Canis lupus familiaris: one gene and its partners. The protein of the gene in region 2 interacts with the protein of the main gene of each other region in a biochemical or structural test. Links are inferred from orthologs where the notes say so. Each region holds a gene or a part of one and is shown on either strand. Other genes may lie near its edges. The genes, in order: JUNB, ITCH, NUMB, LRRK1, UBE2G1, NDFIP1 and MLANA.

Region 1 (3,706 bases), on a different chromosome or scaffold from region 2:
ACCGCCTGCCTCCGCGGTCGCCTGCGGGTGCTGCGGGCTGAACCATTGCTGGGAGAGGGAGACTAGAGGCCTATGCGGCTGGGCGTGTTCTGCGCACCCTGGCCTCCGCCAGGGTCGCACGTCCACGTTCCTCTTCTGAGGCGCAGAACCCAACCGGACCCAGGGCGGGGCGCACGGTCCCGTAGGATCCGAGTGACGGAGGCAGGGCCGGGCTCCTTCCCCCGGGGCTGTTGCCACACTTCCTGCCGCGGCGCTCTTTCCCCAGCCTGTTTCTAAGGAAGGAGTGGGGTTGGGCGACCGCGCCCGGGCCGTCGGGGTAGGTTCAGCACCCTGAGTCGGCACGGTGTCGGTCAAGCCCCGGGTCACGGGGGGAGGGCTTGGAGATGGGAGCAAAGTATACTGGCGCCTAGAAAGCACCCACAAGAAGGGGTGGCCAGTCATGGAAGATCCAGCAGTCCAAATCCCCAGGATCCTCAAAAACCCCTCCTCTCATGTCTCAGCTGGAGACCCTGTGTCATTATCATCTCGGCTCTGAAAGTGTGTCCGGACTCTTAACTCTCCTTCATCAGGGCTTTGCAGATGACCCCAGTGACTCCCAACCTCTGACAGGGTCCCCCCCCCCATAATTTCCCAGACTCGGTATACCCCGGAGCCCTCACTTTCTACATAACTAGATTCCCCTTATGGAGGCCCTCAGTCTCTCCCATGGACTTCAGGACCCCTACTCATTTTTTGCATAATGGATCCTCCATCCCCTCCTTTTGCCCTTTTGATCCCCCCCTCACTTTTCCTGGGTTCAGTCCCTCTATTAAAATTCAAGTCCTTTAACCCCTCTGTACTCAGGACCCCCACACATTACCTTACCCCTCTCTCATTTACTCTGGTTGATCCTCCTGTCTCACCTTTGTGGGGTCTCCCTGTGTATATAATCAGCCCTTCAACCCCCCTCGAATACTCCGAGTCCCTCAGGCCTTTTGTGTACACCCTGGAGACCACCCCCGCCCTCCGCCCCAACACGCACACGCGCACGCACGCACACACACACACACACACACACACTTGCTTTGTAACAGTTCCTCGCATCCAGGGGAATCAGTGCCTTCCCTGGAGTCCCTCCCCGTGTATCTCGGACCAGCACCCCTTCCTTCGCGCACCCCGGGGTCCCCTGAGCCCCTCCCCCTGCAGCCGCGCCGAGCCACCCAGCCCGTGGCCGCTGTTTACAAGGACACGCGCTTCCTGACAGTGACGCGAGCCGCCTCCTCCCCTTCCCCACGCTGGAGGAGGGGGGCGCGGGGGCCCGGCTCGCGCGACGGCCAATCGGAGCGCACTTCCGTAGCTGACAATAGCCGTATAAAGGCGTGTGGCTCAGCCTGAGCTGCCGGGACCTTGAGCGCGGCCAGGCCAGCACCGGAGTCAGCAGGGAGCGGGGAGCAGGGGGAAGCGACACCAGGAAAGCGAGCGCGCCGGACAGGGGCCGAAGGGCTCGAGAAGCCGCACGGAGCTTCCGCGCACCGCCGCCGGCTGGCCTCTCCCGGCCGGTGCCAGCTCCTGGGAACGCGCGTCCAGATACCCAGTCCAGCCACCGTCGCGGACAGGGCGCCGCTCGCCGCAGCGAGGCCCGGGGCGGCCCCGCAGGGACCCCCCCAGACCGCCTGGGCCGCCCGGATGTGCACTAAAATGGAACAGCCCTTCTACCACGACGACTCATACGCAGCGGCGGGATACGGCCGGGCTCCGGGCGGCCTTTCTCTACACGACTACAAACTCCTGAAACCCAGCCTGGCGCTCAACCTGGCCGACCCCTACCGAAGTCTCAAAGCCCCCGGGGCGCGGGGCCCGGGACCAGAGGGCAGCGGTGGCAGCAGCTACTTTTCCGGCCAGGGTTCGGACACAGGCGCGTCGCTCAAGCTTGCCTCATCGGAGCTGGAGCGCCTGATCGTCCCCAACAGCAACGGAGTGATCACGACGACACCCACGCCCCCGGGACAGTACTTTTACCCCCGCGGGGGAGGCAGCGGCGGAGGTGCGGGGGGCGCCGGGGGCGGTGTCACCGAGGAGCAGGAGGGCTTCGCAGACGGCTTTGTCAAAGCGCTGGACGACCTGCACAAGATGAACCACGTGACGCCCCCCAACGTGTCCCTGGGCGCCAGCTCGGGGCCCCCGGCTGGGCCCGGGGGCGTCTACGCCGGCCCGGAGCCACCTCCAGTCTACACCAACCTCAACAGCTATTCCCCAGCCTCTGCGCCCTCTGGAGGCGCCGGGGCCGCCGTCGGGACTGGGAGCTCGTACCCGACGGCCACCATCAGCTACCTCCCACACGCGCCACCCTTCGCTGGCGGCCACCCGGCGCAACTGGGCCTGGGCCGAGGAGCCTCCACCTTCAAGGAGGAACCGCAGACCGTGCCTGAGGCGCGCAGCCGCGACGCCACGCCACCGGTGTCCCCCATCAATATGGAAGACCAGGAGCGCATCAAAGTGGAGCGCAAGAGGCTGCGGAACCGGCTGGCGGCCACCAAGTGCCGGAAGCGGAAGCTGGAGCGCATCGCGCGCCTGGAGGACAAGGTGAAGACACTCAAGGCCGAGAACGCGGGGCTGTCGAGCACTGCTGGGCTCCTCCGGGAGCAGGTGGCCCAGCTCAAACAGAAGGTCATGACCCACGTCAGCAACGGCTGCCAGCTGCTGCTCGGGGTCAAGGGACACGCCTTCTGAACGCCCCCCCATACGGACATTCCCCCAGTCTGGACGACTGGGCGCACGCCTCCCAAGGGGCGAGGGGGCAGGCGGTGGGCACCGGCCCCCGGGGCACCGCAAACCACACTGGACTCCTGCCCGCCCGCTCTGCGTCCAGTCCTTCCACTTCGACGTTTACAAGCCCCCCTTTCGCGTTTTTTTGTATGTTTTTTTTTTTTCTGCTGGAAACAGACTCGATTCATATTGAATATAATATATTTGTGTATTTAACAGGGAGGGGAGGAGGGGGCGATCGCGGCGGAGCTGGCCCCGCCGCCCGGTACTCAAGCCCGCGGGGACACTGGGGAAGGGACCCCCGCCCCCTGCCCTCCCCCCTCTGCATCGTACTGTGGATAAGAAACACGCACTCGGTCCCTAAAGAGTTTATTTTAAGATGTGTTTGTGTGTGTGTGTGTTTGTTGTTCCGACTTTTTATTGAATCTATTTAAGTAAAAAAAAAAATGGTTCTTTATTAATTTGTTGTCTTTTTTTCCAAGCCGGGCGGGAGGAGGGAGGAGAATAGTGGGCTGCCCCCACCCCACTCCTGCTTGTGACTCGCGCCAGTGTCCGTGTCCTCCTCGCCAGCTCTACCTAAGCATCTTGCAGCCCTAGTGCGGGCGGCGGACCCTTCTCTGGCCCCCTCCTCCCCGGGGTTGGAAGGGCCAGGGCGGGTACGCGGTCCAGCCGCCCATCACCAGGGGGCAGGAGGCCTGGGGCGAGACGCGCAGTGCGCGGGCGCAGCCCCGCCCAGCTGCGCGCGCTGGGGCTTTCCCCGCTGACGCAGCGGAAGCGCTGCCCCTACATGGGCCGATTCTGTCCAGTGACGCGCCGGCGGTCTCCGGGCAGATTCCGGGAATCCCCTCCCCCGCTCTGCCGGGCAGGGCTGCGGCGCCGGGAAGGGGGCCGGGATTTTCCCAGGCAGGCGGCTGCCGGGGCCCGGAAAGCCCCAGGCCTGGGTCCAGAGCGTCCGCGGTGG
Region 2 (4,117 bases):
ATTATTTACTGCTTAGGATTTTTTTTTTTATAAGCAAACAGAAAACTAATAGGTTGGACTAGTCTAATTATGGCATATACCTGGCATATATATCACCTAGGAGATGACAGTGTCCACAGGAAGTATCAGGCACTTATCAATCATAACTTACTTTCCCAGAGAGCACATATGACCAAAATCCTTCTCAATACAGTGCTTTTGGCAGCTACTTCAAAGCAGAATTGATTAACCAAAATATATTTGCCACTGTGGACTAGATTATCTCTTCCAAAATTCTAATACCAAGTTCCTGAGTACAAGAGAAAAACACTTCCAACAGGCTTAGATCAGTAGTGTTGAAAGTCATAAATTTCAGTGTAATCTCCAAGTTCTCCTCCAAATGCAACCAATTTAGTTCTAATTTTCCAAAAGTACTAATGAACAATATATTTTGATACCATTAATATATATAACCTGGTAATATTGTTCAGATTTGCTAATGGGTTCTTTTTACAGAACAAGAGCCTTTTTACCCAGTCTGGCCCCAAAAAGTCTCATCCAAAAATATGGCAACAATATTGCACTAGTAAAGAACTAAATCTAATCCCTTGAGCATCCCCACAGCCTCTCTCCAACATTAAGTCCTTTCACCTCTCACCTAGACCTCTGCAATAGCCACTCTTCCACCCTTTCACTCTCATCACCAGAGCCATTTTTCTACAACACACGTCACTCATATCACTTCCCTGTCTAAATTCTGAATCTACTAACATAAAACTCCAGTTTTTAGCATTATAACTTTTCAGTTACCTCCTTTTACCTTTCTGACCTCACATCCTACAATGCTCTCCTTCCCCATCCCACTCCCTGTTCCCTGAACCCTTTTTCTCCCACTATCTTCTGCATTTACATACAGCACTGTCCTTCCCTTACCCCATCCTTATCACATTCCCACTCATCATCTAAGGCCAAACTTAGGACAGGAGCAGGTCCTGCCACCTTCAACAGCCAAACCCCAGACAGAACTGGCCAATTCTGTCTCAAGCTTCTCAGTAGATTCACAGTATTGTTTGCCTCAGTGGTTCCCAAAACCAAGAGAGCTGCCTGAGGCATGTTTTAAAAATAAATTCTTCAGGGCAAAAGCAGACCTACTAAATTGATGTCAGAAAAGGAGACCCTGGAATTTCTACTTTTAAAAAGCTCCCCTAACTATTCTAATGTGCAATTTGAGGAACTACTGGTTTGTCTATCTTTTTCAATAGGCGAACAGATGGGTTTTTTTTGTTTTTTGTTTTTTGTTTTTGTTTTGTTTTGTTTTAGAATTCAGAAATGATTCCCTCTGGAATACTGTGAAAACGTATTCTGCACTCATTTTTTATTTCATGTCCTTTTTGACTTGATTCATATACTGACCATGAAGGAATTCCTTCTGGACTCACACCCAAAAACCTTACATTCTGTTGATAACTGTACCCCGAGTAAATCTATGAATAAATACATAGTGCAGGCTTCCAGCATAGCTGCCATGAGAACTTTATTTCAGCTGAGAAATCCTTAGCTGATTTTGAGGGTTAGTATCCGCTGCCTTTACATACTTCCCTAAAATCGATTAAGAAAAGATGCGGGAGACCCCCCAACTAAGTGCAATGATAAGTGACTGGCTCCAGTGCCTCAATAATTTCCAAAGGGCAAAAAAATCCCACTTTTCCTTCCCCAACCCTCACTCCCAAAAAAGTATACTGAAGCTGTAGAATTATGGCAGAAAATGTAACAAGACTAACATGCGCATATAACCGAGAAAAGCTGAGTTGTTATTGGGGAATCGTGAATTTCGGGTAGTTTGCACGTTCACCTTGTTACATCTTTAACTTTAGGCCCAACGTCCACCTTGAGCGCACAGACCCTGTGTTTCTCTGTAAGCCGTGGCCCGAGACTGTGTCTGAAAACTTGAGTTCCCCCACTAAGTCGTGTCCTCATCACGTTCTCACCCTTAGAATACGTTCACGACTACTTTTTTTTCTTTTCTCTGCCAAAGAAAAGGGCACTCAAGAGGGAGGGCAGTGACAGCTCCACGTCTGCAAAACTCGGCGCCGGGAGGTGCCCGCGGGGCCGCGGCAGCAGGCGCGGAAAAGGGCGCCTGGGCCGGGACCACCACGATGGGGGACAATGGAGGGAGGAGGGGAGTGTAAGAAAGAGAAGGCAGCCGCTACGCTGGGCCTGCCTCGTGACTGGGGGCTCCAAAAAGTCTCGGGAAGGCCAGCCGAGTGGCAGGTGGGCCCGGCCGCCGCCCCTCACAGGGCCACGTCGGCCGCTCCGGCCGCTGCCGCCGGGCCCCGCGCGTAGGCCGGGCCGCGGGAGAGTGGCCCCCGGGCGGGGCTGAGGGGCGCGGGGCCGGCCCCAGCTGGCGCCCAACGCGGCCCAGCCCTCTCACAACTTGGCGCCCGCGAGGCGAGGGGCTCCCCACGCCTCGGTCAAAAAGTGGCTCCTCGGCGTCTCCGGCCAACCCACCCCTCGGCCACTAGCCCGAGCTCCCCGCGCCCCCCACGGGCACCGGCTGTGAGAGAGGAGAGAGCAGTCGCGGCTCTAGGGTCCTCTGCCCGCGCGCCGCACTCCTTCACCCCTGGTTCTCCTCCGACACTCTCTTGCGGGCTCCCCCTCCTACCCAGAAGCGCCCCCAGTCCGCCCGCGAATGTTTACCGGGACTCGGGGCGGCGGCGACTCTTCAGTCCCTCGACTAAGATGGCAGCCGGTCCCGAGCCCAGACCACAGCGACTAGAGCGAGTTGGCGGCCAACGCGCAGGCGCCTCCTGCTCGGCAGGGATGTGGACTACAAGCCCCAGAAAGCCTTGCGCGCTGACCGGGAGAATTGGCCGGAGCTGGGCAGCGCAGCTACACCGGAGTTTACTCGCCCTTAGTAGGAGGGACTATGGGATTGCTCGCAGCCACTCTAGGCTTTTTTTTTTTTTTTTTTTTTTTTAAAGTATGCCCACTTCCCCAGAACCTCTAAAGACTGTAGCTGTGGTTCCCAAAAGCTATTGTGCATCAGAAACACCTGAAGGGCTTGTTGACATTTAGGAGAGCCCCACCCCCAGAGTTTCCGTTTCAGCAGATCTGGGATGAGATCTAGTAATTTGCATTTCTAACTCGGCTGTGCTTCTGGTGGGGGAATCACACTTTCAGAAACACTGGATTATAGTTTAGTCCTTAAGAAAGTAACGCTGGGGAGTTAAATTGATGGGGTTCAAATCCACCTTTTAACAAAGTACGCTTAAGGATGATGAGAATAGCCTACATGTAAGTGGTGCCAATCTGGCAGGTATTGGAAGAGCTGATCAATAAGCTTCTTTAATCCTCACAACAAATCTATAAGGAAACTACCTCCATTATCCTCACTTTACAGATGGGTAAACCAAGTCACAAGCTGGATAGGAACCCAGGCAGTTTGACTTCAGAGTCCATCCTCTTCTTTATGGGTTGTTTGTGAGAATTAATAGGCTGTGCAAGTAAATTCAGAGGCCCAGATAAGGGCTTCCTAATTAATGACCTTAGCTATTATTGTTTAGCCTGTTTCCTCCTTATGAACATATTTTACCATCTGGAAAGTCACTTGCATTTTTCAAAGTATGTTCAAATCTCAATTCTCAATTCTCAAATTGCATTCCTGCAATATGACTTAAGAGAGCTTATTAATGATGCAGACTTCTGGATCCTAACCCATTCAGAATCTCCAAGGCAGTGGTTCTCAAACTTTAGTGCCCATCAGAATCTCCTAAAGAAGAGCACCTGAGTGGCTTAGTGGTTGCGCATCTACCTTTCGCTCAGGCTGTGATCCCAGGGTCTTGGGATGGAATTCCACATTAGGCTCCCCACAGGGATCCTGTTTGTCTCTCTGCTATGTCTCTGCATCTCTCTGTGTGTCTCTCATGAATAAATAAATATAATCTTTAAAAAAGAGAGAGAAAAAATCTCCTGAAGGATTCATTAAACTGGGCAGTCTGGGTGGCTCAGCAGCTCAGCAGTTTAGGGCCGCCTTCAACCCAGGGCCTGATCCTGGAGACGTGGGATCCAGTCCCATGTTGGGCTCCCTGCGTGAGGCCTGCTTCTCCCTCTGCCTGTGTCTCTGCCTCTGTCTCTCTGT
Region 3 (4,070 bases), on a different chromosome or scaffold from region 2:
TACACAAGTATATCTGATTCCCTTAAAAATGCTTTGATATGTTTTCTATTAGTGTAAGGCCAGGAGAAGCTTTAAATAACTTTCACTCTCTTTAAAAAAAAAAAAAAAAAAAACACTCCTCTGCTTTTCTCCTTTGAAATGTGTCTTATTCGGCTTCTGCTTATTTTCTATACATGAACTGTTCTCAAACCAGTCCATTTCAGCATTAGTTGTTTACAGACAACATGTCTAGTATACTTAGGGGTATTTTTTACAGACAGTGCCTTACAGAAAGGGTAAACAAGAGGGCACAAGTGAAACAAAAGTGTACCACATCTGAGAAACACCACTCAATTTCATCCCCTCTGCCTCAGATTTCCTTAAGTCCTCATACCAAAGATTCTCAATATCTAAAAAGAGGCACAACACAATATGTGATAAGGCAAACATGAGAAACCAAATCAGAAGCTCAAGAAATTTAATAGAACGTATCACCACCAAATTACCAGAAGAAAAATAAAGATATAAATAATAAAGCCAGTCCTAGAAACCCTTACTGAAGGATTATTTCTGTTGCACTGCCTGGCTTAAAACAGTTTTTCAAATTCTTCTGACTGTAAGAAATACATTTTACATAGTGATCTAGTACACACACTTATGAGAAACATTTCCCAAACAATGCTTTTCCTTACCAAGTGCAATTCCATTCTATTTCATCCTATTTTCAATGTGGCAGTAACCCAGTAAATTGATTTTATAAATTACGAAAAAATCACGATCCACAATCTGAAAAACATAGGCTTCACAGTGGGTATGGGTATCCCTTATATTCGGATCATTTTTGCAATGTGCCTCTACTTGTCTCTAGCAGGGTAGACAGATATTTTAAGATTGCTACGTTATTATTGTTTTCATTGAAGCAAGTGGTTTTTAAAGTGTGAGCCTCTGACCAACATAAGCATCACCTGAGATAAATACAAATTCTCAGGATCCACCCCAGACTTACTGAATCAGAAACTCTGGATGCCGCCAGCAGTCTGTAGTTTACCAAGCCCTCCAGGTGATTGTGGTGCAAGCTGAAGTTTGAGAACCACGGCATAAAAGAACCCAGGTCTTTATGCTCTCTATTTAACAATGCAGTCAGTAAGCACAGTGCTCACTCTGTGCCAATCGCTATCCTAAAAGTTCTACAAATATTAACACACGTGGAAAAAAAACAACCCTACGAAATAGGGACTATTATTATACCTATTACACAGAGGAGGAAACTTGTACAGAGAGGTTAAATTGTCCAAGCTAAGTGGCGGAACCAGAATTCAAGTTTCTAATTTGGCCAGGGTACGTCCATCCTTTCATGACGTCCATCTTTTTGATCAAGTCCCCTGTCCTGCCTATTCCCTTAGTTTGAGCTACTTATCCCCCCTTTCTCTTTCAAACTCTCCATCCTGTCAATGTCCTCATTTTCTAATATCATTGGTGTCATCCTAAAAAAAAAAAAAAAAAAAATTTTCCCTAAAGCACTGGAATGCAAGAAGTTACTTAACCCAACTTTTGGGAGCTTTTTCTCTCACATCTTAGTTTTATGAAGGCGAGGTGCCTTCTATTTCTGCAGTCCTGAGAACACACTAACGGCCACACTGTTAGTTTCTCGTAGCCGCTGCTCCGGCCGGTCCCCACGAGACCACCACTCTCACCCTGAACAACTTTCTCACTCCCTCCTACTACGCCCTATATCTACTACGCGCTTCCTACGAGGAAACTGCTTCTCCCCGCCCACCCCTGTGTCATTTTGCTTGACTCCTCTCCAACTGAGACAACTTCCACTCCCCGGCAGACCCCTCACCCTAGTCTCCAATCCGACCTACTCCTCGAGGCTCCCCGGTGGCGCGCGGGTCCTCGGACCCAGGAGCTCCCGGTTCCAGTCTCGGGTCGCCCAGCCCAGCCCAGCGGTGGGGGCAGGGCGCTCCGCTCCACTCCAGCTGTCCAAGGTCTCCACAGGTCCCACCCTCCAGAAACCCGGAGCCCTCCACCTCGGACGGCCGCCTCTCTCAGGAGGGTCCCCGGCCCCACCCCCACCCCCACCCCCGGCCTCTCGCCTCTCGTCGACGCCCCCGCTCGCACTCGTCCCTCAGGGTCCTCCCGAACCCCGGCCGCCCTCGGTCTGACTCCCTTCTCCCTCGGACCCGGGCCACTCCCAGTTTCCCGGCCCCCCAGCTCTCTCCGCTCGGGCCGCTCTTGGGTTTCCCGGGTTTCTCTGCTCCCTGGCACCCAAGCTGCCCTGAGTGTGCATTCCCGGGCTCACCCGGTCTTCGGACCAGGTCGTGGCCGGTCACCCCGGGTCGCCCCCCGCCCCTCCCCCCCGGGACCCCGTCCGCTCCCGTCTCCCAAGGGGCTTACCGCTCCCACAGCGGCCGCCGGTCAGTGCCCCAGACCCAAGCAGCGGGACGTCCCGAGGGACCTGCCGGCCAGAACCGCTTGGGTCCGGCCCCAGCCTATCTTGCCAACGCGAACTCCGCCGCCGGGAACCGGGCCATTCTCCCACCAGCCCAGTCAGCGCGAACTCGCCGCCGCCGCCCTGGCCCCGGCCCGACCCGGCCCACAGTGCAGGCCCCCTTCCTCTCGGCCTCCGCCTCGGGAGCGCCGAACTGGAGTTTCCGGCCCGAGACGGCCCCCACCCAGACCTCAGGCCCGCGTTACCGGCACTCACCTGCCGCTGCCCCCCAACCAACTCCAGCGCCACTGCCTCTACCTCGGCCGCCAGTAGCCACCAAGCGCCACCACCTCCCCCATGACAACAGGCCCGCCCCGTTTCATACTTTCTGTCTCTCCATTGGATAGCGGGGCGGCGGCTTTCTGCTCTGATTGGCTCTTTCCAGCTGTCCGTCATAGCTTCCTCACCGCCCCTTTTCCTGAACCCGGTATTAGCCCCCGTCCGGACCCGGAGCGCCCAGTACCAAGGTTTAGTTGTTATTGGCTGATGGCTGGGCAGTTCGAAGTCATGATAGGCTGCCAAAAGTGTCTGTTAAGTCAACTGGCAAGGGATGCGATGGCTTTGGTTGGTTCAAGCTCGGGTACAGTTTGGTTGCGCAGTAGAAAGCAAGGAAGGGGCAGACGCTCACGGCCGAGGTTACCCGGGAAGGGTTAACTCTTTGTTGTAGAGTTCACTCTATGTACCCATCCCTTTCTCCAGTTCCCTCCCTGTAAGGAGAAATTGATCCCTGCTAGTTTATAGGGTAGTACTTAGAAAATACCAGCATCAGAGATTGTATTTAAGGAGTGTTTTCCAACTCCTTGGAGAAAAGCACTTGTACAGATAAAAATCTCTTCTCAAAGTCCCAATTTGCACCCAGTTTCCTTGAAGTTCTTTCCAGAAGTCTCCATGCTAAAGGGCAAAGCACGAACATTTATTTAGCAGGAATCAGACACTTCTGTGGCAATTGTAACGTCGTTAATAAACTGAAGTGGCATGTTGAGCGTTCTCTAGCTTCCAGACTCACCCCTGGCTGGCTCCTGCCAAGTGACCCAAGCAGCCATCAGCAAGTTTGAACTAAACCAGCCGCATTTAGCCTTGTGATGCTCTGGAAATGAGAATTTGGTTACCCCCACCTTCTCCCAACTTGATTTTTATGTTCAGCAGTTCTTAAATAGCCCTACTAGATGTGTGTCAGATACTTGAAAAGCTTGTCTTTTTTTTTTTTTTTTTTCTCCCAACCTCTCCTCTTCCTAGCAATCTAAATTAGGACCATTGAATGAATTGCAGCCCTTTTCTTACATTGGCACAATGCACAAGAATAAATGATTGCATTTTTTATTTATTTGGGTACAAGTCACAGTATGCATTTTTGAGAAATCTGGTGTAGCTATAAAAACTCTTGCGCTCCTAGAAATACATCCATCGTTAGATTTTGGTTTTCTTTTTCATTTCCACCCACTTTTCCTGTTCTTAAACAACAAAACGCTGGCCTGATTTGTCTTTAAATTTCTAAGTCACATTTATTTTTTTTAATGTGTCTGTATTTGGCTTTTATTTTTTTATTTTTTATTTTTATTATTTATTTATTCAGAGAGAGAGAGAGGGGCAGAGACACAGG
Region 4 (3,984 bases), on a different chromosome or scaffold from region 2:
TCTGCTTTCAAACGTCTTAAAATCAGCTACCACATCTACCCAGTACCACCTCAAAAAATCCAAATGCTAGTAGACTTGCCTTCTGAAAACAGAAGTGTCTTACCATAGAGTGCTTTTAAGTTTTTTTTTTTTTTTTAAATCTTTAAAATATTTTAGGCCAACCCTCGGCCAGCACATTTTGTTCCCCTTTTCATTTTCAGTTTCCTTTTGAAAATCTCTTTACCGATGGAGGATTTTACCACTGGCACAGTTTTTCAACTGTAATTTGTATGTTGGCTTAGACTCTAAGGTAGAAGGTTTAAAATGAGGTAACTCAACTTTTGCTCAATCTTTGCCCTCAAACGGATCTTTGCTTCTTCCTGCTTCTTTTGGGCTCAGACCAATGCAACAAATCATGGTTGTAAGTTACATGTCTTCCTTTCATTGTGGTGCATACAGCCTTAAGAGGACTTCAAGAGGTTTTCTGTAATAATTTTAATACTTTTTAAAACCTCACCAATTTTTCATTGCTCCTTATACGTGCAGTAATGAATAAAACTGAATGCTTAATCAAAAAGAGAAAAGGGGAAGCTGACATTCATCCCGCAAATGTTTTTATTGGGCCCTTTCTATGAGGAGTGAACTCCATGTGTTCATGAAACTTAAAGCTGGTGGGAAGGCACAGTTAAGTAAGTGCTTGCCACAAAATTTCTGACTGAGGAGAAATAGAGGAGACCCTGGACCTGCTTACTTGTCTTTTCAGGAGGCTTGGAAAGGATTGTCAGTACCAAAGAGCTAGAAGACACTTGCAAATGAGCACGTCAGCTCAGATAATCCAGTAATTCTTTTTAGTGAAAGCATGGTAGAGATGGTTGGCCCATAGTCCTTGACAATCCTTTGGCACTACTAGCCTCCTCTGACCACATACCGGCTTGCCTACAGAATGTGTGTAATGGATTCATGGACTTCAAAATATCAAGGGGCTGCGGACCAGAGAAATGTGTAGATCTCAGTCCTAGATGAACACCCAAAGGTCTGGGAACAGAAGCCCTTCATGAGTCTGAAACCACAAACAAGTTAAGACTGTCCATTCGCCATTCAATCTGTATGCCAGGGTGTACTGGGCACCTCTCAGACAGTTCTGGGCGTGAAGACGCAGCAGTGAGCCATGCTGGTGCCTAGGAATGGTCTCTGACCCCTGGAGCTCCAGGAGAGTGCCAGGCAATTAAAGAAGAGAGCAAATAGATGAAGAGGGACCATAATACCAGTGGAGACTGCAAAAGACAGCAAGGGTGGGGGGGGGGCGGATGTGAGAAAGAGGCTGGGCTTACAGGGGGTGGCTGGCAGTATGAGGAGTCAGGGGTCAGCATGTAGAGGCCATATGCTGAAGAGCCAGCTGGACCATGGTGGCTGGTGGGGTGGGGTGGGGTAGAGGGTGGCATGAGCAATGGCCAGGTGGTTGATGATGCCAGACTCCATATCAACTGAGGGGAAGGAGGTGTCCTGGGTTTCATGCCAATCACAAGGAGAAATTATGGCAGGGTTCTAAGCAGAGGATTGACACATTCTGATTTACCTATTAAAAAAAAACACACGCACAGACTCTCTGGCTGTCACATAAAGAATTGGAGAGGGGAGGATTGTAATCACGCAGGAAACAAATGCTGGTACCTTGGACTAAGGTGGAGACAATGAGAAAGAAAGGTTGGACTCAGCCAGACACATAGGTAAGCCCAACAGAACTTGCTGATGGTTCACAGAATTCAAGGGATGAGGGTATGGGATAGAGGAAAGGCGAACAAGTGAGCTGACTATGGGCTCATTCCCTGACCCCAAAACCTCCTTTAGGGACAAATCAGATGTGAGATTTTTGTTTTTAATTTTTTTTTTTTAATTCTTCAGGGACGGAAGCAAAGATAATTAGAGTCAAATCACAAAAAGCATTTCATGTTAATGTCGTCCCAAATGGCACCTCTTCTAGTTGTCCCTTTAATGTCTGGGTACTTTGTTACCAAGTTGAGGGGCCGGCACCCTCTAGAAAGAGTGTATTCACTGAGAGCCTTGCTGAAGCCTTCGCCACAGGCTGCTGTTTTCTCTGCCTCTCCGACCCCTGCTGATGTGTTCCGGGAGAAAGCTTCCAGGCCTCCAAACGGGCAGGGGCAGGTTGAGCGGGCCAGAGGTCCCCACGCTCTCCCTCGCCACCTCCCCCGGCCCCCCACCTAACCGGGCTCCCCTCTTGGCCCCTTCGCGGACCTGTCGCGTGTCTGCGGAGGAGGGTGGCGGAGACGGCGGATTCCCCCGCAGCGGCGGGAGCGCAGGAGCCCGGCCAGCCCCAGCCCCAGCCCCAGCCCCAGCCCCAGCCCCAGCCCCAGCCCGGCGGGAGGTGCGGGCGCTGCTCCCCGGCACACACGCACGCACACTCGCCCGCACGCTGCGCGCTCGCGCTCACACCCGGCTCACACCCGGCTCACACCCGGCCCGCGCCGGCCCGAAGCAAGGAGCCTTCTCCAGGGGCGGAGGAGACCGTGGTCGCCCGGCCGCGGCTCGGCCTCACTGGTGCTTCTCGCGCCTTCTCCCGGCCGCGGCCCGCGCGGGGTTTCGGGGTGGCCCTCCGGGGCCCGCCGCCTCCCCCACTCCGCGGGGCCGGGGCCGGGGCCGGGGCCGGGGCCTGGGGTCCCCCGCGCCCTCGGTGCCCCCCTCCCCGGGCCACCTGGGCGGAGCACGCGGCCGTCCGGGCGCCGAGGGGGCTGCGGGGGTCCCGGGCGGGGCGGGGCGCGGCGCGGCGCGGGCGGACGGGCGCTTACCTGCGGCGGCGGCGGCGGCGGGGGCGGGCCGGGGCGGCGGGGCGTGGGCCGGGGCCGGGGCCGGGGCCGGGGCGCCGGGGACGCGGGGCTGGGCGCGCGGACCGAGGCCTGGCCGTCCCCTGCCCTCCGCCCCCTGCGCCTCCGGCCGCGCGCGCGGGGGCCGGGCCGGGCCCAGACGCACTTCCTCAATCCTGCGGCCCGCGGGCTGGCGGGGAGCGAGCGCGGGCGAGGGGGGGCTGGCGCGGCGCTGCCGGCGAGCTGCACGCGGGCGCCTCAGTTTCCCCAGCCGGAACGCGGAGGTGCCCCGACGCCGCGCCCCGGAGGCCCGTGAGCCCTCGCAGCGCGCGGACCCCGCCGGGTCTGGGGGCCCTGCCTTCTCCTGTCGGGGCGGGCGCAGCCGCAAGATTGGTCGGTTCTCTGCTCAACGCAGCGTCGTCCACCGTCCCCGGGCTCCGGAGCAAAACCCAAGGGCTAACCTCGGACTTGTATGGGTTAGGCAGGGCCTCGCAGTGACTGTACTCTGACCTACACCTCTGTGCAGGGCAGGATAGAAATAGGTATTTTCTAGCTTTAGAGTTTGGCAAACGGTGCCCCTTCCGTCACAAGAATTTAATTGGGGCTGAATATAGAAAGATGTCACTGTTGGGTGAATCATTTTAAATTCTGCGGGGAGTAGATAAAACATGCTGGAATGTTGGCCATTTATTATGTCTCGACCCGATATGTATGTTCATCACCCGACGGAGACCATTATCCGACGGCATCACAGAGACGCAGGGACGTGCAGCAGGCATCAGACCTGGCTCCGCGTGCCAACCACAGGAAGACAAGCCGGCCCAGTAAGAAGCAGATGGTTCCACAGCCCGGCAGGACCCGCAGCCTAGGCTAGACCTCTCCTGCGCTGCGACTGGAAGGCTCCTGGGACTTTAGCGCAAGTCAGAGACTCGCCACCACCCTCACTGCCATTTCACAAACGCCAGGCAGACGCAGGGCCCCCGCACGACCTCAAGGACACTCTGAGCAGTGGCCCCTTGGCAAGGGCACCACGGGGCAGCTTCGCTTTGCTCCCAAGAGGCTGCGCCTTTAGCTCGCCGGCCACGGAACGCCCTTTGCAAAAGGGTGGGTGCGGTTTTGCAATCCTGTCCTCAATATTTTGGTCCTAATTCCAGTATTCAAAAAGCAGCAATGTGATTGCTACCGA
Region 5 (3,500 bases), on a different chromosome or scaffold from region 2:
GTGGGGTGGTGCCTGAGTGGCTTGGCTGGTTAGGTGGTCTGCCTTCCCAGGGTCCTGGGAACCAGTTGGGCATTAGGCTCCCTCTCCCGCTGCCCCTCCCCCTGCTTGTGTGCTCTCTCACTCACTCTGTCAAATAAATAATAAATGAGACCTTCAACAACAAAAAAACATCAAATGTACATAGGCTGGGTACTGATCCCCGATTTCAGGCATCTCCTGGGGGGCGGGGGTCTCAGAACATCCTCGTCACCAAGAAGAGGGACTACCGCACAGAAATGAAAAATCGTAAATGCCACACAACATGAAATTCTGAAGGTCAAGAACCTGAAGGGAACAGGGAAAACAGAAAAAGAAAGAAAAGGTCACCCACAAAAGCAAGAAAGTCAGCCATGCATCAGCTTCCTCAGCAGCAGCAATAACACGAAAAGTCCAAATCTGTATAAAGCTGCACTGCACCCCTCCCCAGAATTCTACAAACGCTCCCTTAAATACAACGCAGGATAAAAACCTGTCCAGGGATCCCTGGGTGGCGCAGTGGTTTGGCGCCTGCCTTTGGCCCAGGGCGCGATCCTGGAGACCTGGGATCGAATCCCACATCAGGCTCCTGGTGCATGGAGCCTGCTTCTCCCTCTGCCTATGTCTCTGCCTCTCTCTCTCTCTCTGTGACTATCATAAATAAAAAATTAAAAAAAAAAAAAAAAAAAAAACCTGTCCAGACAAGTAAGGACCCAGGTCTTAGTTCCCACAGAGCCTTTCTGAAATGTGTGGGGCAACAGGACGACGGCCACCAAGGAGGACAAGCCGGACCCAGGAAACAGCAGAGCAGGTAGCAGAAGTCCCAGGACGGCAGCCACGCCCTGTCAGAGCCCAAGGGTGGAGGGGCCAGGAGAGGGTCTCCAGAGAGGATGCGGGTTTCCCGGAACAGGCACCACTGACCAGGAAGTCAGAAGAGCAAACAATAGAACCACAGGAACACACGATGAGGTGTCCAACCAAGAGGGAAAAGCCAACATAAGAGGTAAACGAAACCATGTGCAAGCCAGGACCATCTGTACAGGAGGCAACTAACTGATGAAGTCAGAAGAAGCAGGACAGATGTCGCACAGCCTGTGGTGCACAGATCAGAGTCTCATCTGCAATAGTTCAGCTTTGCACAAAGCTACTCCCATCTTCATGGAAACGTCCATCATCAGGCAAGGATAGCCCCTTCTCAGGAGGCCCCATGGTTCCAGACTCTGCTCTCCTGGGGAGTTTCTAACTTTTCCATTTTCATACTTTCAGGTATTTGCTCTTATTTTATCCTTAATTTTAACCTTTATGAAGATTAAGATACAGCTTGTCAGTTCTGATCTGATTACAGAAAACCAAGCATGCATCAAAGTAAACAAGAATTAGTTCTCTCTCAAAATGACTCCACAGGATTTCTTCTCCCTTCCCACTGCTTCCAGTGCTCGGACTGGCGCTCAGCTAAGTAAAAAGCTAGGAGGCTTTTCTGCCAGTTTTCATTTCAATTTGTTCACTAAGTTCAAAAATTCAAAGGCATAATTTGAAAAGGGTTCATCGATGTAGTTCTTCTACATATAATACAGGCGATCTCACCCAGGTTATTCTATCAGTTTGAAGTAACCCAAGAAGAAAGGCGAATTTAACCTCCTGGCTTTGACAGATGCTCATAAAAGTCCTAAGAATAAGAATTAGAATGAAAGGCTTTTCAAAGGAGAACAGAAGGCTGAGGAAAGAGACTATCCCAGAGCACAAGAGACTAATAAAACATGAACACAAAGAAAATGTAGATTCCCAGGTTCTGGATTTAAAAAAGGCAGGTATGAAGAACAACATTGGAGAAGTGTGACTATGGACCATGTGTGCGTGAGCAGGACTGTACGCTGACAGACCTGTGCTGTGGGAACGAGGAGGTTGCCTCTGTTCTCAGGAGAGGCTGGTGATGTGTTACCAGTGGAGAGTCACGACATCTGTAAAGACTTCTCAAACACTTTAGGGAAAAAAAATGTAAAATCTCCACAATTGGTGAATCTAGGTGAAGAGTGTTTACAGCTATGAAAGATAGTGCCCTTATTCTTAAAAGATGCAGGTTCAAGTATTTAGGGGTAAAGCTTACTTAACGTCTATAACCTATTTTTGTACAGATTCCAGAGAGACATACATGTGTGTGAATAGATCTGCGCGCATGCGCGCGCGCGCGCGCGCACACACACACACACACACACTCACACAGATACTGCAGCCCTCATTGAGGGTGGTTAAAGGGAAGGGAACATTGTGCATGACCAGCTTACCGCAGCATCAACATTAGCAGGTGAGTCTCCGTTAGGGTCTGCCAGCATCGAAATGACACTAATCATGATGGTTTCCACAGTGTGAATTGGGAGCCAGCGTTCCTCTGGCTTTTCATAACCATATTTGTCTTCCCCAGGCTCATGAAGAATGGAAATGCATACATCACCATTTTTATCAACTGCAAAATTAAAGTGTGAGAGTCTGTTTAAAGTATTTACAATACCGTGGTTAAACATAGAAGCAGCTATTTTAGACAGGGCCCTGGCTCCCACAGGTCTGTACAAAACATTCAATATATACAGAAGATGATTTCCAAGATGGAACCTGTTCACCTTTAGGAAGACCACAGATTGTACCCAGCAGGCCCCACTTGTCAGAGCCAACACACACACAAGCAATCTCTTCCGTGTGCAGAGCCCCAAGGTGCCTATACATGCATGGATTTACACACAGGAAATACAAAATGACTCTGCTCTTCGTATCAAGTACAGATCCAAATGCCAGAGCTGAGTCTCTATGTGAGGATTTCCCAGATTCCCCACCAACTTACTGATCTAAAGTGGTGACAGTCAACCATCCAGAGACTTCCCTAAAGAAAATATGAGAAGTAACCTCATCATGTAGTTTTTAAATCACATAAAGGCAAAATCACATTTTCAGGGACAGGAGCATACTCAAATTCAGAAAAGGAACATGTCACATTGCCGATGAAAATTCATCAACGTGAATGACATTCACGAAGCATCTTTTCTGTAAAACTAGGATTTAAAATCCAAGTCACAAACTAATTGTTGATCACAACAAAGGTGAACTTCGAACCCACCAGCTCATTTATATCACACAAATATACCAAAAATTCATGACTAATCTTTTATGGTGAAGTTTTCTCCACTGCAAAATAAAAAAGAAGAAGACGAAAATAAAGTATACTCATTTGGAAAATGTTAGAAAAGACAGGAAAGTTTAAGAATTTTTGGTGTAAGAAGCTTTTCAATCAAATGTCCAAATCCCATAAATAATCAGTGGCAATATGTCTAATTCATCCCTGTTTTTGCACCTGAGGTCTAACAGACTTGTGACAGGTACCACCCTAACAGTTACATTCCATGTCCTGACTTGGGCCCCTGCCTTATTGGTAGAAACTTGGGGGAAGCTGAGCCCGAGTCTGTTCATACCGCTTGTGCCCCAACAAATGCTTCCCC
Region 6 (4,123 bases), on a different chromosome or scaffold from region 2:
TAAATAAAAATTTATACTCAGGAAAAGAGATATAGATGTACACAAAAGAAACTTCAGTGAATAAAAAAATTATGAACACACTTAGTGGCCAACAATAGGCAACTGACTTGAACTATGTACAACCAGTTACATGCAATGCAGACATGAAAATACTACCCTATTTTATACATCTATATGCCTCTGTACATACATGTGAACAAATACATGTACATGCAAACTTGTGAATGCACATGTGTCTGAGAACATGACACATATGGGCACAGTGGATGTATAAATGTATACATGTGCACATATGCACAAAATGTGTACAAGTAAAACCAGGGGGCTCGTGGAATGGTACATGTGTACAAAGATGTGCCTGTATATATATCCATGGATACATGAGAAAATATATATGCACATATATATATGCTAATGCACATGCCTATATTTGGAACATGAGCCTGTGTTTTAAGTAGGTGAGTGTGTATTTATCCTTGTAATCACTACTTAGAGGCTGTGACCTTGAGCAAGTTAATGAGCCTCTTGGAGTCTTGACTTTGTCATCTATACAATAATACCAAACCTTGCCTCATGGGAGTTCCATGAGGATTAGGGAAATAATGGATGTAAAGTCCTCAGTACCGTGATTGGCACATAGTAAATGCTCAGTCAATATTAGCTTTCCTTATCTGTACACATGTATACTGATTTATATTTATGTATATTTACATACCTATAAGTCCACAAAGATACACATCAAAATACTAATTTTGGTTACCTATGGGTGATAAATTTTTACTGTGGGTTTTTTTTTTAGGGGGGGTAGCTTTCATATTTTGCAATTTTTCTAGGAAGATTATTTTTTTCATGCTGTTTTTTGGAGGTTATTTCTTCAACATAATGATTTTCAAAAATAAAATAAAGATGACCTGTCCCTGACACACCTCAATTCTGCATATTTAAAGCTGTTAAATATAAATATTACACCAAGGAATACATAGTTTTGATACTCCACCAAATTTTTTGTATTCCAGCAATATGTCAGCATTACCTAATAGCTCAAGAAGATGGCAGTACAAAGAAAAGCCACAGCTTTTTCCTTGTTTGCCTTTTACAAAACAGGATGAAAAGAATGAATTAGATCACAGTGTGGGGTACAAGTGATTTTTGAACACTCTGGTGACAGTTAAGTGACATCTGTCATTTGTATTTTATTAAAGCAGGGAGAAACCCTCACCCAAGGTCATACAAAAAAAAAAAAAAAAAAAGCATGTGCCAGACCACAGGCTGTGAGAGATCTGAGGACTAAACTGCATTGCCACGGTCTGGGCATGTTTATGAAACCAAGAAGCTAAATTCTTAACCAGTCATTTCAGAAGTCCGGCTGGAGGAGGGAGGAAATTACTACACAGGGCTGATGACAGCAAAACAAACTGGTAACTGGCTGCACTGAGTTAATCTAGATGTTTTAATCAGACTGGTTTTCGTTATTTCTGAAATACAAAGCTGTAGATCATCAATGATAGGGCATCTAATTTCATAAAAGCACGACTGATATTTGTATGCAAATTATACCAAGAAACATCTGATAGGACAAAACGCAAACAGTTATCAGCGGTTCCAATCAACACCAGTTCCTACCTGGCTTAATTCCCACAATTAAGATGTGTTAGGTTAAACAGCACTAAAAATCCTGCAGATGGTCTCTGAATTTCCGAGGGGAGCCCAGCTAGTAGAACAAGCAGCTCTTTTCCCTAGGGCCTCAATTTATAAATTATAACCGGGATAATACTCCAATCAATCCCTATACATTTCCTCCCCAGCCATGCTATTAAATCTCCTTAAACGTCATTTCCAAGCTTTTAAAACACACACCCAGGCACACGCCCTGCAGCCTTCAGCGAGCTCACGACGTTCCGGGGCACTGCCCCAGCTAAACAGCGCCTTTCCCAGACCTACTGCAAACTGCAGACTTGCCTCTCGTCTCATTTTTGACTTTTGTCTTAAAACAGAGGCGCGGGGGAGGGGAGGAGGGGGATGGGTTTCGACAAACAGACTAGGCTCTGAAACCCCCCGAGCAATCGCATCTCGTCACGGGGAGCTGTCGGCCGCAGTGGCAGCGATTTTAATCTTTTCTCTCCACCCAGTTTCCTTTTCCATCTCACGCTTCATCGCCTTCTTTCTCTTCTTCCCCATGACATCAAACCAGAGGTGCAGAAAGGGAAACTGCATGCCCCCGCGTGGGCGCCGCCCCGAGGGTCGCGGGCTCCGACTCGGCGGCCCGCCCGCCGCGAGAAGTGCGGGGCGACGCCGCGGGCCGGAGGTTTTCCGCCGCCCGGGTGCCGCCCCGGGTCGCGGAGGGCCGGGCCGGGCCGGGCCGGGCCGGGCCCGCGGCGGCCTCGACTCCGAGCCCGCGGCCCGCCCAGGCCCGCCAAGCCGCGGCGTCGCGTCGGCCACAGGCCGGGCCGGAGACGCCAGAAGTGGCCGGCGGGCAGGGGGGCGGGCCGGGGGCGGCGGGGGCCGGGGGGCCGGGGGCCGGGGGCCGGGCCGGACTCGGCGCTGCTCACCTGCTGGTACCGGCTGCCGCAGGCCGGCTCCACCGCCGCCAGCGCCGCCAACGCCAACGCCATGGCGCAGCCGGCCGCAGAGGAGGAAGGCGGGCGAGCGGGCGAGCGAGCTCTAGGGGCGCGGGCGCTGCGGCCTGGGAGCGCGGGGAGGCCGAGGGGACGCGCCTCGCGTGGGTCTCGGTGGCCGCCGCCGCTTCCAGGCAAGCCGCCCTCCTCGGGTTGTGAGCGCCGCCGCCGCCGAGGCTCCGACGCGGCCCCTGGGGAGGAGGCGGGGACGCCGCCGACGACGCTGCGCCGCCGCCCCGCCCCGCCCCGCCCCGCCCCCGCCGCGCGCCCGGGCCCGGCCTCGGCCTCGCCCCGCCGAGCCGCCGCCCGGGGTGGGGTCCGGCCGGCGTCCCGCGCGCCGAGCTGCGGCCCGAGCGAGCCCCGCGCCTTCCCCGAGCGCTCTCCTCTAGCCCTCCCCACACCGCGACGTGGGGCCGCGGCCCGGCGGAGGAGGCCGTCGGCGCCCGGGGAGGCTGACACCCCGGCACGGCCGCGACCGGGGCTCCCTGGGACCGCTGCACCCGCTCGGTTCTCGTCCAAGCCCCGGCTTGTCTGCCATCGTCCTAGATCAGGGACTGCCAACCGGTCCGGTGGCGGTGGAAAGCAGAAGAAATTCATGTTTCATTGTGCATAAATGAAGTCTTACCGGAGCACAGCCGTTCGTTCCCATGTTGGGTACGGCCAGCAATCCCTAAAATACTTACTCTCTGACCCATTACAGAAGAGTTTCCTGACACTACACCCTCCAGAACTCCTTTAGTAAAGATCTCAAACAAGCACTACTTAGGATGGATGATGATAACAGCATTCTCCTTTTTGTGCAGCCCTTTAGTATTCTAACAGCCTCATCTGTGGATAAGACATGTTATTTCCATGTATGCATGCATGTAAATAAATCCACCCGGCCTGGAGCCCAACTCGGCTTGAACTCACAACCCTGAGATCAAGATCGCAGCTGAAATCAGGAGTTGGGCTCTTAACCCACCGAGCCACCGAGGAGCCAGGACATGATACTTTTCTGAACCAAAAGCTCTCTGAGGAGGTGACATGGAAGGCCAGACTCCAAAGATTCAGCCCTGCTGAGAGCTGAGAACACGTGCAAAGGCTGTGAGGGAGCCACAGGTTGCTTTGCGGAAGGACTGGAAGAGGCAGGCAGGACTGCCCTAGGGGAGATACAATAACCAATGTTTCCCAAAAGAGGAAATTAAGCTTGAAGAAATTAAATATCTTGCCCAAGAACACAGAGCTAGGGAGGGGAAACCTGGAATGTAAACCAATGAAACCAGCATTGTTAACTATTATCGTGCAACTCAATTATAAACTCTGTGAGGAGGAAAGTATGTCTCTCTTAAATATTTTTATATATCCCGCAGCATCCAGCGCAGCATGGCTATACAGCAGGCATGTGAGGTCTGCTGTTTCCTTCTGTCATACCCAGCCACCTGGAATTGCTTCTACCCACATGTCCAACCCAGAAAAACCTGAGTTTTTGAAGCTTGTTGCAATTCCTCTTTCTTCTTGATTGCCTT
Region 7 (4,238 bases), on a different chromosome or scaffold from region 2:
ATGGGGATACCAGAGCCCAGCCCAGCTAGGGTATCCCAGGACATCTGACTCATGTTTACATTCAGCTAGGCAAGCTCCTATCTGGCCTCTGCTTGCTCAAGGAATCCAGTTCAGGATGACCAAGGACCAAACCAGTTGGGTCAGTCCTTGCTCCTTACTCTGTTATCACCTAAGTGATCTGGAAAAGACATTTCAGAATGGAGCTAGAGATAGAACTCTGGGGATGCTGAGACAAGAGGCCTGATCTCTCCAGCCTGCTTGGCTGCCATGTCAGAGACCCCAGCTGACATTTGAAGTCAGAGATTGCAGATATTAGGTAAGCACCTCCCAACTAGCCAGGCATGGATTATTAAAAGATAGAGCATTGGGACTCAATCATGGGGAGAAGTGTCTGAGCTGAACCTACAGCAAAGTTGTAGCATCACTGAAACTGTTCTGCTCCTCAGCAGCAGGAGCAATCTGGGCATCTAAACAAGCCTTTTGAGCCCTGTGTCCAGTGGCCCCTGGGAAAGATTAGTTACTGCAACGGCCCTGGAAACAGGTCTGAAAGCTGTGCTTTCCCTGTATAACAATTAGCTAACATCTGCCTGATTTTCTACATCACATGATCAGAGTGGAAAGTGCTGTGACTTGCTAAAAAAGGGTTCTGCAGAGCTGGGTGATATAAGAGATTGAGCAGCTGAGGGTGAATCAAAATATAGCTGAGGGTTCTCCTGGAGAGATCTTTGTCCTGTACCAACTACCTGACCACCTCCTTCTCAAGGCAGCTGAGGCATCAAGTCTATCCTGTCCATCTCTAAACCAGTTGGGTGACAGTGCTGGATAAAAACTCTGACCTAATTATGCAGGTCAGTCCACCCACTTTGTGGATCATGAAGCTGAGACCTACCGAGACTCATCAACATCACCACCACCTTAGCAGCTACTCTGTCCTTCATTGAGCACTGATTTGTGCCAAGCATTGTGCCAAGCACCCCACATATAGGCTTTTATTTCATCATCACAATAATCCTGTGAGGTAGATACGATGTTCATGTCACAGCGGGTATCCCCATAATTTTAAACTGGTAAAATGCCCAATGATGCACAAGTGGTAAGTGGCAGAACCAGAATTCACAGTGACTGGCCTAAGATACCCAACCAGTGCCTTTCCTGCCATATCGCCCTTTCCTGATATGAAGCTGTCACAAGGAGCATTCAGTGGGCTCTTGTGACTGAAGGCAGCTGATTCAATTCCTGGCATGCTTGTGCTCCAATTTCACCCACCAAGGCTGTGGTTATCCCCTTGGATATCCTAACACAGACAGAGCTCTGTTCCAGTTCCTTATGCACAGTCACATTGCATTCACACACACACACTCAGTGATTGATAGATTAGAAAACATCAGGATATGCCAGACACACCAAAATAATGCAGTTTGCAGCTGGGCAGGACTCTCTAGAGTGTCACCAAATGCCTCCTGTAGCAGAGTCACCTGAGGTGGATGTTAAAGTGCAAACTCTGAGCCCCACCAAATCAGCCTCTCTGGCAGAAATACCTGGGAAACTGCATTTTACAAAACCTCCATGAGTGACGCATGCCCTCTCACTTCTTACTAAAGTTTTACAGAGATACAGCTTGTTGAATTATCATACAGAAACTGAAACAACATCCTACTTAATATCATGTGTACTCTAAACATACCCCCAAAAATACATTTTTTACTCTTGGGATATTTTTTCAGAAAATCTCCCCATTCCCAACTGACCATGCAGGGATGTTAGAAAATCCCACTGGCATCTTCTGAGGAAATGCTCCCAGCCTAAACTCTTCCTCAGTGACTTTAATGAGTTCCACATCTTACTTGCCCTTGCTAGTTCACTCTAGTAAAGATTTTTCAATAGTTCCTTCCCCAAGGGAGAGCAAATTTGCAGGAATTTCTGACTAGATCACTTAAGACATGGTCCAAATAAAAACCCGGTACCTTATTTGTCCTGTTGGAGTCTTCATTCAGAAGGTGAAACCCAATCTAGAGCACCATACTCTTGTGTACTCTAGTACATGCAGAATGTGTCCCAGCAGCCTGTCCTACCACTACAGCACTTACGCTTGCCAAAATTATTCTTGAGCCCAATTCTCCACTACACTGTAAAATTTTTTCACAGATAAGTATAGCATCTTAGACTGACTATACATTGCTTAGCACTTAGAAATGCTGAATCCTATAAATATTTATTTTAAATTAATTCATACTTTTAAACACCTTTCCTTAGAATAAAACTATGATGCAGAAATAATAAGCAGGGTCAGAGTGCAGTTGCACATACCTGCCCTTCATTCTTACTAGCTCTTTGGCAACTCACCTTTGTTCTATCCACAGGCCACCTCCAGGAGCCCGAGTGGAGGAGACAGAACAAGGCTTGAGGAAAGAGTCACCTTGCTCCCAGACAGATGTTTTCCAGCTGGGAACCTACAGTGAAAGCCAAATAACCAAGAATACAGACCCCCCAAAAATGCCAAGATCCAACTTCTTATCATTCCTATCTCCTAGCCTGTATGGCCTCAGAAAAGCTTGAGTGAGCCCCTTGTAGGACATGGGGTCCCATCACCTCATTGACAGGGTTTTAATCTCTGGAGAAATGAACACTAGAGAGATTTACTGACAGACATACGCTTGTGGAAATCAGCAGGCTGTCTGCAAATGGCAAACTGGAAACCCCACTGGATCCAATTTTGAACTTACTCTTCAGCTGTGATGTAGGAGTGGTTATGCCCCTTCTTGGGATAACCAAGGATGAAGTGAGCCTCTTCTCTTGGCATCTTGTGGGATAAGGCCACAGAACACCTAATAGCAAAGTCAAACAGGCATCATTTAACACATTCAGAACATCCTCGCACAGCATTCCATAAATATCTACAAAAAACTCTCTCCAGGTTAACATTAATGATAGCTGGGACCCTCTGGTTTCTCTCTGTGAGAGAATTTGTACCTGCTTATTTCATTGATATCCAGTGGAAATTGCTCAGGTTTCTAACTGCTTCCACCAACTGAAAATTGAGTTCAAAGAAGAAACTACAAACAAAAGCAAAAACTTTGAAATTGAGTTATTATTTGGGGGGGAGGAATGCTCTTCATTTCCTATCAATTTACTCTATACCATAAGCTTATAGAGAAACAAAATACATTCTTTAAAGATGACATTTTATTATTTTTATTATTTTTATTATTTTTATTTTTTTAGAGAGGTGAGAGGAGAGAGGGAGAGGGAGAGCGAGAATTTTAAGCAGGCTCCATGCTGCATGTGAGGCTTCATCTCACCACCCTGAGATCATGACCTGAGCTGAAATCAAGAGTCAGATGCTTAACAACTTAGTCATCCACACACCTCCACAAAAGGCATTTGTATTCATTCCTTACTTTCACTGGCAGAAGACTGGTTAATAAAAGGAGTTATTTCTCTCCAAACGTATTAATTTGATGTCAATCTGTGGTCAAATAGACGGTTATGATCCCATATGAGTATGTAGCTGAGCACAGCATCCTCCAAGTCCACCTTCTAACAAAGGAAATGCCTGGGCTTGTCCATGTTCACCCTGCCCAAACCAAGATAAGGACTCCCATAACCTGACTTTGTCTATTTGTTTCCCTCCCGCTAAAATAAATTTCTGCTTCTCCTTCATTCAAGTCTCATGAATAGGGCTTAAATATGTATGTATGTGTATCATACACAGAATATACATAATATGGAATATATATAATACAAAGTTTAAAACCATAATACAAACAAATAGACAAAAAGCTCATGAACTGCAGAGGTCATGATTAAAGAGTACTGGTTGAAAACCAACAGCGATTTTTCTTCTCTCAATGTCATTGTGCATTTTTCTTCTCTCTTATTCTTATGATTTTCAAAGATCTGATAATAGAATTATATTAATGAGCCTGTTTAAAACAATAGGAGAGAAGTGGAAGAACAGAGTGGGGCATTTGCCACACGAACCCTTTCTATTGGGGCATTTTCTGTGTAAATTTTCATTCTTTATTGTAAAAAAGAAATTATAGTTGAACTCACTGATCATCTCAGGTGAATGATGTAGGGGTGAGACCTATGTTCAAAATTACAGCTACTAAACCCAATTCTGCATTAAATTGTTTTTGTAAATATATGTAAACCTCTGCAAACAGTGTAGGGACAACAAATGTACCTCATCCCAAACCAAGAAAAGCAATCTTTCAAGTGAATACACAAGCAGAATC

Evidence for each region.
Region 1: the proteins of ITCH (region 2) and JUNB form a complex in vitro, tested with the Homo sapiens proteins (2 studies listed by BioGRID, with this or other methods). The link is inferred for Canis lupus familiaris from reciprocal best matches to the Homo sapiens genes ITCH and JUNB.
Region 3: the proteins of ITCH (region 2) and NUMB form a complex in vitro, tested with the Homo sapiens proteins (3 studies listed by BioGRID). The link is inferred for Canis lupus familiaris from reciprocal best matches to the Homo sapiens genes ITCH and NUMB.
Region 4: the proteins of ITCH (region 2) and LRRK1 form a complex in vitro, tested with the Homo sapiens proteins (2 studies listed by BioGRID and IntAct, with this or other methods). The link is inferred for Canis lupus familiaris from reciprocal best matches to the Homo sapiens genes ITCH and LRRK1.
Region 5: the proteins of ITCH (region 2) and UBE2G1 form a complex in vitro, tested with the Homo sapiens proteins (2 studies listed by BioGRID). The link is inferred for Canis lupus familiaris from reciprocal best matches to the Homo sapiens genes ITCH and UBE2G1.
Region 6: the proteins of ITCH (region 2) and NDFIP1 form a complex in vitro, tested with the Homo sapiens proteins (2 studies listed by BioGRID). The link is inferred for Canis lupus familiaris from reciprocal best matches to the Homo sapiens genes ITCH and NDFIP1.
Region 7: the proteins of ITCH (region 2) and MLANA form a complex in vitro, tested with the Homo sapiens proteins (2 studies listed by BioGRID and IntAct, with this or other methods). The link is inferred for Canis lupus familiaris from reciprocal best matches to the Homo sapiens genes ITCH and MLANA.

What each region holds. Positions count from the first base shown.
Region 1 is NC_049241.1:49,756,909-49,760,614, reverse strand, and holds JUNB (transcription factor jun-B), read left to right. Parts: upstream 1-1,369; 5' UTR 1,370-1,665; coding exon 1,666-2,709; 3' UTR 2,710-3,206; downstream 3,207-3,706. UniProt on the Homo sapiens protein: Transcription factor involved in regulating gene activity following the primary growth factor response. Binds to the DNA sequence 5'-TGA[GC]TCA-3'.
Region 2 is NC_049245.1:23,988,833-23,992,949, reverse strand, and holds the start of ITCH (E3 ubiquitin-protein ligase Itchy homolog), read right to left. Parts: upstream 2,801-4,117; 5' UTR 2,677-2,800; intron 1-2,676. UniProt on the Homo sapiens protein: Acts as an Acts as an E3 ubiquitin-protein ligase which accepts ubiquitin from an E2 ubiquitin-conjugating enzyme in the form of a thioester and then directly transfers the ubiquitin to targeted substrates.
Region 3 is NC_049229.1:47,083,581-47,087,650, forward strand, and holds the start of NUMB (protein numb homolog), read right to left. Parts: upstream 2,801-4,070; 5' UTR 2,687-2,800; intron 2,522-2,686; exon of another isoform or gene 2,377-2,521; intron 1-2,376. UniProt on the Homo sapiens protein: Regulates clathrin-mediated receptor endocytosis. Plays a role in the process of neurogenesis.
Region 4 is NC_049224.1:40,487,969-40,491,952, forward strand, and holds the start of LRRK1 (leucine-rich repeat serine/threonine-protein kinase 1), read right to left. Parts: upstream 2,801-3,984; 5' UTR 2,784-2,800; intron 1-2,783.
Region 5 is NC_049226.1:30,544,610-30,548,109, forward strand, and holds part of UBE2G1 (ubiquitin-conjugating enzyme E2 G1), read right to left. Parts: intron 2,477-3,500; coding exon 2,298-2,476; intron 1-2,297. UniProt on the Homo sapiens protein: Accepts ubiquitin from the E1 complex and catalyzes its covalent attachment to other proteins. In vitro catalyzes 'Lys-48'-, as well as 'Lys-63'-linked polyubiquitination. May be involved in degradation of muscle-specific proteins.
Region 6 is NC_049223.1:36,160,820-36,164,942, reverse strand, and holds the start of NDFIP1 (NEDD4 family-interacting protein 1), read right to left. Parts: upstream 2,801-4,123; 5' UTR 2,613-2,800; coding exon 2,550-2,612; intron 1-2,549. UniProt on the Homo sapiens protein: Activates HECT domain-containing E3 ubiquitin-protein ligases, including NEDD4 and ITCH, and consequently modulates the stability of their targets. As a result, controls many cellular processes.
Region 7 is NC_049232.1:26,953,216-26,957,453, reverse strand, and holds the start of MLANA (melanoma antigen recognized by T-cells 1), read right to left. Parts: upstream 2,801-4,238; coding exon 2,724-2,800; intron 1-2,723. UniProt on the Homo sapiens protein: Involved in melanosome biogenesis by ensuring the stability of GPR143. Plays a vital role in the expression, stability, trafficking, and processing of melanocyte protein PMEL, which is critical to the formation of stage II melanosomes.